Oryzias latipes: one gene and its partner. The protein of the gene in region 1 interacts with the protein of each later gene in a biochemical or structural test. Links are inferred from orthologs where the notes say so. Each region holds a gene or a part of one and is shown in the gene's direction. Other genes may lie near its edges. The genes, in order: irak4 and E3 ubiquitin-protein ligase pellino homolog 1.

The links.
Region 2: of the proteins of irak4 (region 1) and E3 ubiquitin-protein ligase pellino homolog 1, one has a biochemical effect on the other in vitro, tested with the Homo sapiens proteins (4 studies listed by BioGRID and IntAct). The link is inferred for Oryzias latipes from reciprocal best matches to the Homo sapiens genes IRAK4 and PELI1.

Annotation. Positions count from the first base shown.
Region 1 is NC_019864.2:12,581,617-12,585,538, reverse strand, and holds the start of irak4 (interleukin-1 receptor-associated kinase 4), read left to right. Parts: upstream 1-1,070; 5' UTR 1,071-1,254; coding exon 1,255-1,415; intron 1,416-1,702; coding exon 1,703-1,848; intron 1,849-1,986; coding exon 1,987-2,133; intron 2,134-3,230; coding exon 3,231-3,391; intron 3,392-3,470; coding exon 3,471-3,535; intron 3,536-3,607; coding exon 3,608-3,722; intron 3,723-3,811; coding exon 3,812-3,921; intron 3,922-3,922.
Region 2 is NC_019873.2:11,871,399-11,875,076, forward strand, and holds part of E3 ubiquitin-protein ligase pellino homolog 1, read left to right. Parts: intron 1-594; coding exon 595-724; intron 725-1,099; coding exon 1,100-1,201; intron 1,202-1,693; coding exon 1,694-1,891; intron 1,892-1,982; coding exon 1,983-2,171; intron 2,172-3,434; coding exon 3,435-3,678. UniProt on the Homo sapiens protein: E3 ubiquitin ligase catalyzing the covalent attachment of ubiquitin moieties onto substrate proteins. Involved in the TLR and IL-1 signaling pathways via interaction with the complex containing IRAK kinases and TRAF6.

The DNA of each region.
Region 1 (3,922 bases):
ATGGTTCATGATATCAATTACTTCCATGATTCATGCATACGAAGGTTAGTGGAACCAATACATTAAATCTTTCAAGAAAAATGATCTATATATTTGTGTTGTTTTTATCTATTTACTTTGGGGAATTTTTTCAAAATAAAGTAATCCGAAGAATGTTCCAGCATGAGCTCTGAACTTCATCTCCAGCAGTAGCTCTCTGGACTGAACTTCTTGGACAGATTTGTTGGGAGAAAGCAAAGCGTTTGCTGAAACATTTCTTGTGAGTTCAAGAGGTGTCATTTAAAATATTACATAGATTTTATCCAACAAATCAATACATGCATATAGGTTAAAAAGAGATTTATGTTTTGTAAAACATTTGAAGGAACATAAATACATATATGTTTGACCTGTAAGTATAATAAATCAGTTTGGAGCAAATTGTCAAGTCAACTCAAATGTAACCCCATTTCTTTTTGAAATGGAAAAGCATTCAGTTTGGGTTTACTGATGATGAACAAATAAGCCATTGTCACAATTGTATTTGATTAATCTTATGATCTTTCTAACAAAACATTATATTTACTAAACCAAAGTAAGTAATAAAACTCCAAATTTCTTTTAATCATTTGCCCAAATGAGATATCATTTAACCTCTACATTATCCAAAACAAAAAAACTATTATCAAAATCCTCTTTCTCAGATTTATAGATTAACATAATTTTACTTTTATTTTTGTGTTTTTTAAACTTTATCTTTAAAAAGAAATCGATGCAGTTGATTGCTCTGTTCCTTACTGATTGTCATTTTTGTTTTAAATAAAGATTCCTAAAAAGAACTTTTTTTCATGAAATGAGTGGTATGTCCACTAGATGGCAGTGTTACACTACTAACATGTTGCTAACATGTTAGTAGTGTAACACTAACAACAACTAAAGGCTTCTTTGGGTGCTTCAGGGGTTTTTGAAAACCTCTGAACAGAAGGTACCTGGGACATTAGCAAAGTCAGAACTTGTATTTATTAAAACCACACAAAATGTTTTTTAAAAATTCAAAAAAAGAGGCGGTGGCGGATTAGTAGACCAGCCCCTCTTTATTACGTTTTAAGGAAGTTGCTCAACGTCGGAAACCCCATTTTACCGAGTCGAAAACAAACTAACCATTTCTGTTTACGTTTAGTCCCGAGTTTCTTTGAACGTAATCAAGCGTTGCTTGTTTGCTTACCATGTAATTTGTCGAAAAAAGTCGAACTTTTGTTTGGAACGTGTCGTAGGATGGACAGCTCGGTGACTTCCGCCACGTACGTTCGCAACATCAGCTACAGTTTGCGCCGCAAGCTGTCCGACTGTCTGGACCCTTACGAGACCTGGAGAGACCTGATTGTGGCCCTACGGAAGCCGAATGGGGAGCCCAGGTACACTCAGCATCATGTAAGGTGAGAAAAAAAACTGTTTGGGGGGGAGGTTTGAATACAAGGAAGGCGACAGAGTGCACTTAATTAAATTTTCATTGTGCCAAATATTATGGTTATCTAAATATACTAATAACAATCCCTTTTGCTCCCTTTTTATCTGTGAAATTATAAAGTATGCTGCATTTTTTTTAAAACTCAGAAAATATAGACATTTGTGAAAAATACAATTTGAATAATTGGTGATGCGCCATCCTTATACGTTTGTGAATAACATTAATATCCTTTTAATTTGTCGCTGTTTGCTTCAGGAGATTTGAAGGTCTTGTTGCTCAGGGTAAAAGCGTCACCGTGGAGCTGCTCAATGACTGGGGGACCACCAACAGCACAGTGGGGGAACTGGTGGACATCCTGAGGAGTCTAAACCTCCTGGCTGCTGCCAATCTGCTATTACCTGGTGAGATCAATAACAGTTTTTGTTCTTTTCTACTCCAGGCTAAAGGATGAGTTATTGTTTTTATTATGACAAATAGACCACAAATGGCATGACTTGTTCTTTTCCTTTTTGTATTTGTGCTGCACATGAACAACAAAGAGGTTCTATCCAAAGAAACACAGCAGGTATCCTCAGTGAAGGCAGAAAAATGTCCTCCAACCTTACTGCTGGGTGAGGCCCCAAATCCACCTGCTGGCTCCTCCCTGCAGACACAAACACTGCTGGATGATGGAGGAGACGACACAGGTGGGTGCAAAGTTTTCTCTAAACCTTATTTCATCATCTTCGGTCAGATATGTTTTATATGATATGTGTGATTACTTATGGATTATTAGGAACACATTTTAGTCAAGTCAGCTTTATTGTCAAATATACTGTATACACAAGATATACAGCACAGATGAAATTTCTTTCCTCTTAACCCACAGCTTGTAAAATTAACAATAATAACAATAATTTAAATAGGTCAGTGCAAAATATTGAGATATTTTAAAGTGATAACAGGGCTAAGAAACAGTAAGTAGAAGAGTGGGTGATGGCAGTTTAGCTCAACTATACAAAATATTTATTTTAAACTGGCTTCCTGAAAGATTCTGTATCTAACTATAACTCTATGTTCAAATCTTAAAGACCCACTCCAAGGAAAACCATGTTTTTAACATATTCTTGTGGCATTTTTCTGATGGAGGACATGTATAACGCATATTGGGCTTAAAATTGCATTTCTGAGTACCGGTATGTCTTTATTCAAATCACTGTGAATCAGGAGCAGACAAAAACAATGCTGTTGGAAAAATTGTTATGTAGAACTTACAATGACAGGCCACACACTCCCTGCTCTTCTGTTTATCCACTTGTAGACAAATAGACCCATGTCTGTCTTCGTTTTCCTCATCTGAGCTGGCATCTAGCTCTAAACTGCACTGCTGGATGGCTCTGTTATTGCTCGCTGTTTTTGTTGCACCACTAATGTTAAGTGGGGGTGTAAGGGACTGTAAGCTAGTGGGAGATTATGTAAACAGCTCTCAGTTATGGGTGATGGGAAGGGGAGTGGGGCTGCTCTGCACCAACAAGAATCCTTGAAAAACCAACAGAACATTTTACCTCTTGGAAATTGACTGCTGTAGAGGCTTAAACTAGATCTTTGTTTAAACCCTTAATGCATTCCGATTTATTCCTTCAATAATTATAGAATTGCTTGCAGTCCCTAATATGTAGCTCTGAATGTATAAAGGGAATTGAGCTGATTTAAAAAAAAAAAGACCTATGACTAAATACAAGTTTGCATATCTGACCAGCAGATGGCAGCACTGATTTTTTTTTTTTAACCACTCGTGCTTTAGGTGTCTCCAGATTCCTGTACGGAGAGCTTATGAGGATCACCAGGAACTTCGATGACCGGTCCATCTCAGACGGCGGCAGTCGTATTGGTGCGGGAGGCTTCGGGACAGTCTACAAAGGTTTGCTAGACAGCAGACTAGTCGCAGTAAAAAAACTCAGTCCAGTACGTGGGATCGTTTAAACACATTCTTTAAAACGTTGCAGATACTGTCTGCGAAGCTCTAAAATATTGTCTCGTTTAGATGGAGGACATGCCGCTGGAAAGTTTACAACTTCAATTTAACCAAGAGATTCAAACTTTGAAAGTGTAAGTTTGATATACTTTTAGCCAGAGGATTAATACCAGTAAACACAAAAGTCTTATTACCCGGTTCCTCAGGCTAAAACACCAAAACCTGGTTGATATGGTTGGATTTTCCTCTGATGAGCAGCATCTGTGCATAGTGTATGCCTTAATGGCAAACGGATCTTTGCTGGATCGACTTGCTTGTTTGGTGAGCAGCATGCAACACTTAACATACATCTAGATACGTAAAGGCCGAGCTGTCCATCATCAAAATCAGTGGTATGATTGCTCGTGCAGGATGGAAGCCCCCCTCTGTCCTGGCAGCTGAGGTGCTTCATATCCGAAGGGGCAGCTAGAGGACTGGAGTATCTTCACTCCAACCATCATGTCCACAGAGACGTCAAAAGG
Region 2 (3,678 bases), on another chromosome or scaffold:
GAGGAAATTCTATTGTCTGCAGCAGCACAGTGGCATTCAGAACAGTGCAACATTATAAAAGAACAGAAGAACATCTGTAACTTACACGACAAAGTGAATTAAAATTAAGATTAAAATACACACAAACAACATCCCTCAGCTGATTTTTTTTTTCTGAGCGTCAACCAGCAGAAACCACAAACCTGCGGGAACCCTGGCTCAGATCAGGACTTTAGGTTTTCGCCTCGTCTGTCCCAAATAACCGGCTCAGGCGTGTGTGAGTCCACTGAGCAGGTGGTGAAAGATTGATGCTACAGCTGTCTGTGAAGCTGCAGGAAGGAGTCCTCACTGCCATGATTTGCTCCTTTAATCAGAGGAGGCGCAGTAAAAAGGCCACACACACACACACACACACACACAAACACACACACTCCTGTCCTTAGCCAGGCTCAGTGATGTCAGCGTGTTTTTCTGCAGCGACGTGCACTCGCGCTCGGAGGACGTTTTCTGGGAACATCAGGAGGGGGCCTGCAGAGTCTAACCCGCCATGTTTTTTACTCCCTGTATTGTATAGGACGGTCCCACTAAAGAGTGTATGTGTTTGTGTGTGTGCAGGTACAATGGCTCTCTGCCCAACGGGGACCGGGGCCGGCGCAAAAGCCGCTTCGCGCTCTACAAGAGACCGAAAGCAAACGGAGTGAAACCGAGTACGGTTCACATCTCCTGCTCCCCGCAAGCAGCCAAGGTAACACGCACTAACACACGAAGAGGCAGAAAGCACCTCACTGCTCCTAAACCTATCGTCTTCATCAGCAGCATTTGACTCCTCCCCCTACCACAAGCACATGGTCCGAGTGTCTCCTCAGTTTTCATGAATTCTGTTTAAAAAAAAGCAAAGTAGTATGAAAAGGTGTAAAAAAATATAATCAAATCAGGCAGAATGGAGGTTTTTCTGTTAATGAAGACATAAAATGAAGGAGCATGTTCCCTCAGCAGACCTGAAGGGCGCGCCCTGCTGGTCGGACACTGTCCCGCCCCACCTTCACTGTAGAGCAGAAAATAATGACTGATTAATCGGCTTCCTGTGTCCTCAGTCAACTTTTTTTTCCTGTTCCATCAGGCCATAAGCAACAAAGACCTGCACAGCATCTCCTACACTCTGTCCCGAGTCCAGACGGTGGTGGTGGAGTACACCCACGAGAGCAATACTGACATGTTCCAGGTGAGACGCACACGCCTGAGAAGTCTGTCGCTGCTGAAAACATTTGAGCCTCAAAACTAAGAGATCATCTTCATCGGCAGAACGTTGGTGTATCGTCAGGTCTTTGATGAAAAACCTGACGATGAATCAGGAAGGAAAACTCAACATATCAAAGTTACATGACCTAAAAAGCATCAGAAAATCACGATATCTCATGTTTTCTATGAAAGATGAACTTAAAACACGAACAGCAAAAGAATTCTGTCCAAGTCAGAAGCATCAGCGGTTATAAGAATTCCCCGAAATGATATGAAAACTTCACACTTTGCCACAGAAAAACGCAGAACTTTGGGCTTTTTTAACCTCATTAAAGTGCACGGTTTCCCTGGCAACCACCAAATTTTAACAGCCTCACTGAGGTCACAAACTTCTGTTTCCCTCTGGTCTCCCACATCGACTCTTAGCTGATCTCACTGCTGATTCCTGCTGAGTCATCTTTCTGTCTCCCGTCAGATCGGCCGATCCACGGAGAGTCCGATCGACTTTGTGGTGACGGACACAGTGGCCGGCAGCCAGAGCAACGCCGACACCCAGTCGGTCCAGAGCACCATCTCCCGCTTCGCCTGCCGCATCCTGTGCCAGCGCACACCGCCTTACACCGCCCGCATCTACGCCGCAGGCTTCGATTCCTCCAAGAACATATTTCTAGGGGTGAGCGGCGCTTCTCCTCCTTGTTGGGGGTTTGACCCCGCCCCTTGGAGAGGCGAGGAGACCCTGATGTCGCTGTCCATCTCTGTTCCAGGAGAAGGCTGCAAAGTGGGAGACGTCTGACGGTCAGATGGACGGGCTGACCACCAACGGCGTGCTGGTCATGCACCCGCGCAACGGCTTCACGCAGGACTCCAAACCAGGCGTCTGGAGGGAGATCTCCGTCTGCGGGAATGTCTTCACCCTGAGGGAGACGCGCTCGGCGCAGCAGCGGGGGAAGATGGTGAGAAGACCGGGCTGCGTTTGCTCCTCTCGTTCGGTTCTGATCCAAACCCGCTCGTCTGACTCACACCTGTTAAACTTGGTTGAACACGATCCCATCTCCATGGCAACCGTGTGTCCGTCACAGCTGAGTGGAACAAGAGCGAGCAAGCAATCCTCAGGGGGCGTCACCAGCGCTCAGCCAATCAGCAACCAGAATATATTTAGCCACACAAACCATCCACTTTGACAAAAAGATCCAATCTGATCCGCTTGGTTCCTGTCGTCACAAACGCGACTGATTGTTAAGAAGTTGTTCTTTCGTTCATAAAAGCTGAAGTGCCTGTGCAGCGTCAGGCCTGTTAGCCTCTGCTTTTTTTCAAGAATTCCTCTAAGTTTAAACCTGTTTTCAAATTTACATTTTTTAGTTTTTCAATGGGCAATCTTGTCTTTCACTCACTTTCAGCTGATCCTGATCTGACCTTATGCTTGAGATCCAGGAAGGATAAAGGCTTTGTGTTGCCACGACAACCTTTGAGCAGCATTACCAGCTGTAAACGTTAGATGAGTTTTCACATTAGATTCAGCCTGAAAGCTGCCAGGTTTGGAAACCAGGTGACTTCTGGTCTCTGTCCTCCTCTCCTCATATCAGGAGAACCATTTTTGGACCCTGACCTCAGAAAGAGTTTGAGTTCAGGATTCCTGTTTTAGCCACCCCCACCCCATGTAAATACATAAATCTAAAGAGGCTTGACAATTCTTTTATGAACTTGTTAGTTTTAGAATTCCTGCAAGCAGCAGGAGGAACACTGAAGATCCCAGCAAACATTCCCAGGATCTGTGGAGGTCACGCTGCCCTCATCTCAGCGTCTCCCCCCCCCTTTCCCACCTTAAAATTAGTCCTCTGGTTTTTCCTGGTTTTTCCCCCACCTGATCTCTAAACCCGGAATTTCCCGCTGATCTCGCTGTGTGGCAGAAAAATTCCTGCGTCCTTCTTGCCATTCACATGTGCACATCTGGATGGAGATGCCTGTGTTCTGCTGCCACCTGCTGTCCTAAGAGTGGTACTGCAGCCTCAAAGCCAACACCTCTGACAGAGTTCACACGTCCAGGTTCTTGTTTAGATATTTTCTGCTTTTTAAGTCATTTTCAGCGCAGAATTCAGACAATTTAAAATGTTGGCGACCTCCTAGATTAGTCTTGGTTTAGTTCTGGGTTTTTTTCAGAAAGGGGAAGAAGTTCAAACTGCGTTCCTCGCTGAACTTCCTGCATGTTTGTGTTCCAGGTGGAGACGGAGTCTCATGAGCTTGTGGACGGCTCGCTCATTGACTTGTGCGGCGCCACCCTGCTGTGGCGCACGGCCGAGGGCCTGTCGCGCACCCCCACCCTGAAGCACCTGGAGGCCCTTCGGCAGGAGATCAACGCAGCACGGCCGCAATGTCCCGTGGGCTTCAACACGCTAGCCTTCCCCTCCATGCGCCGCAAAGACACGCCAGACGAGAAGCAGCCATGGGTCTACCTCCAGTGCG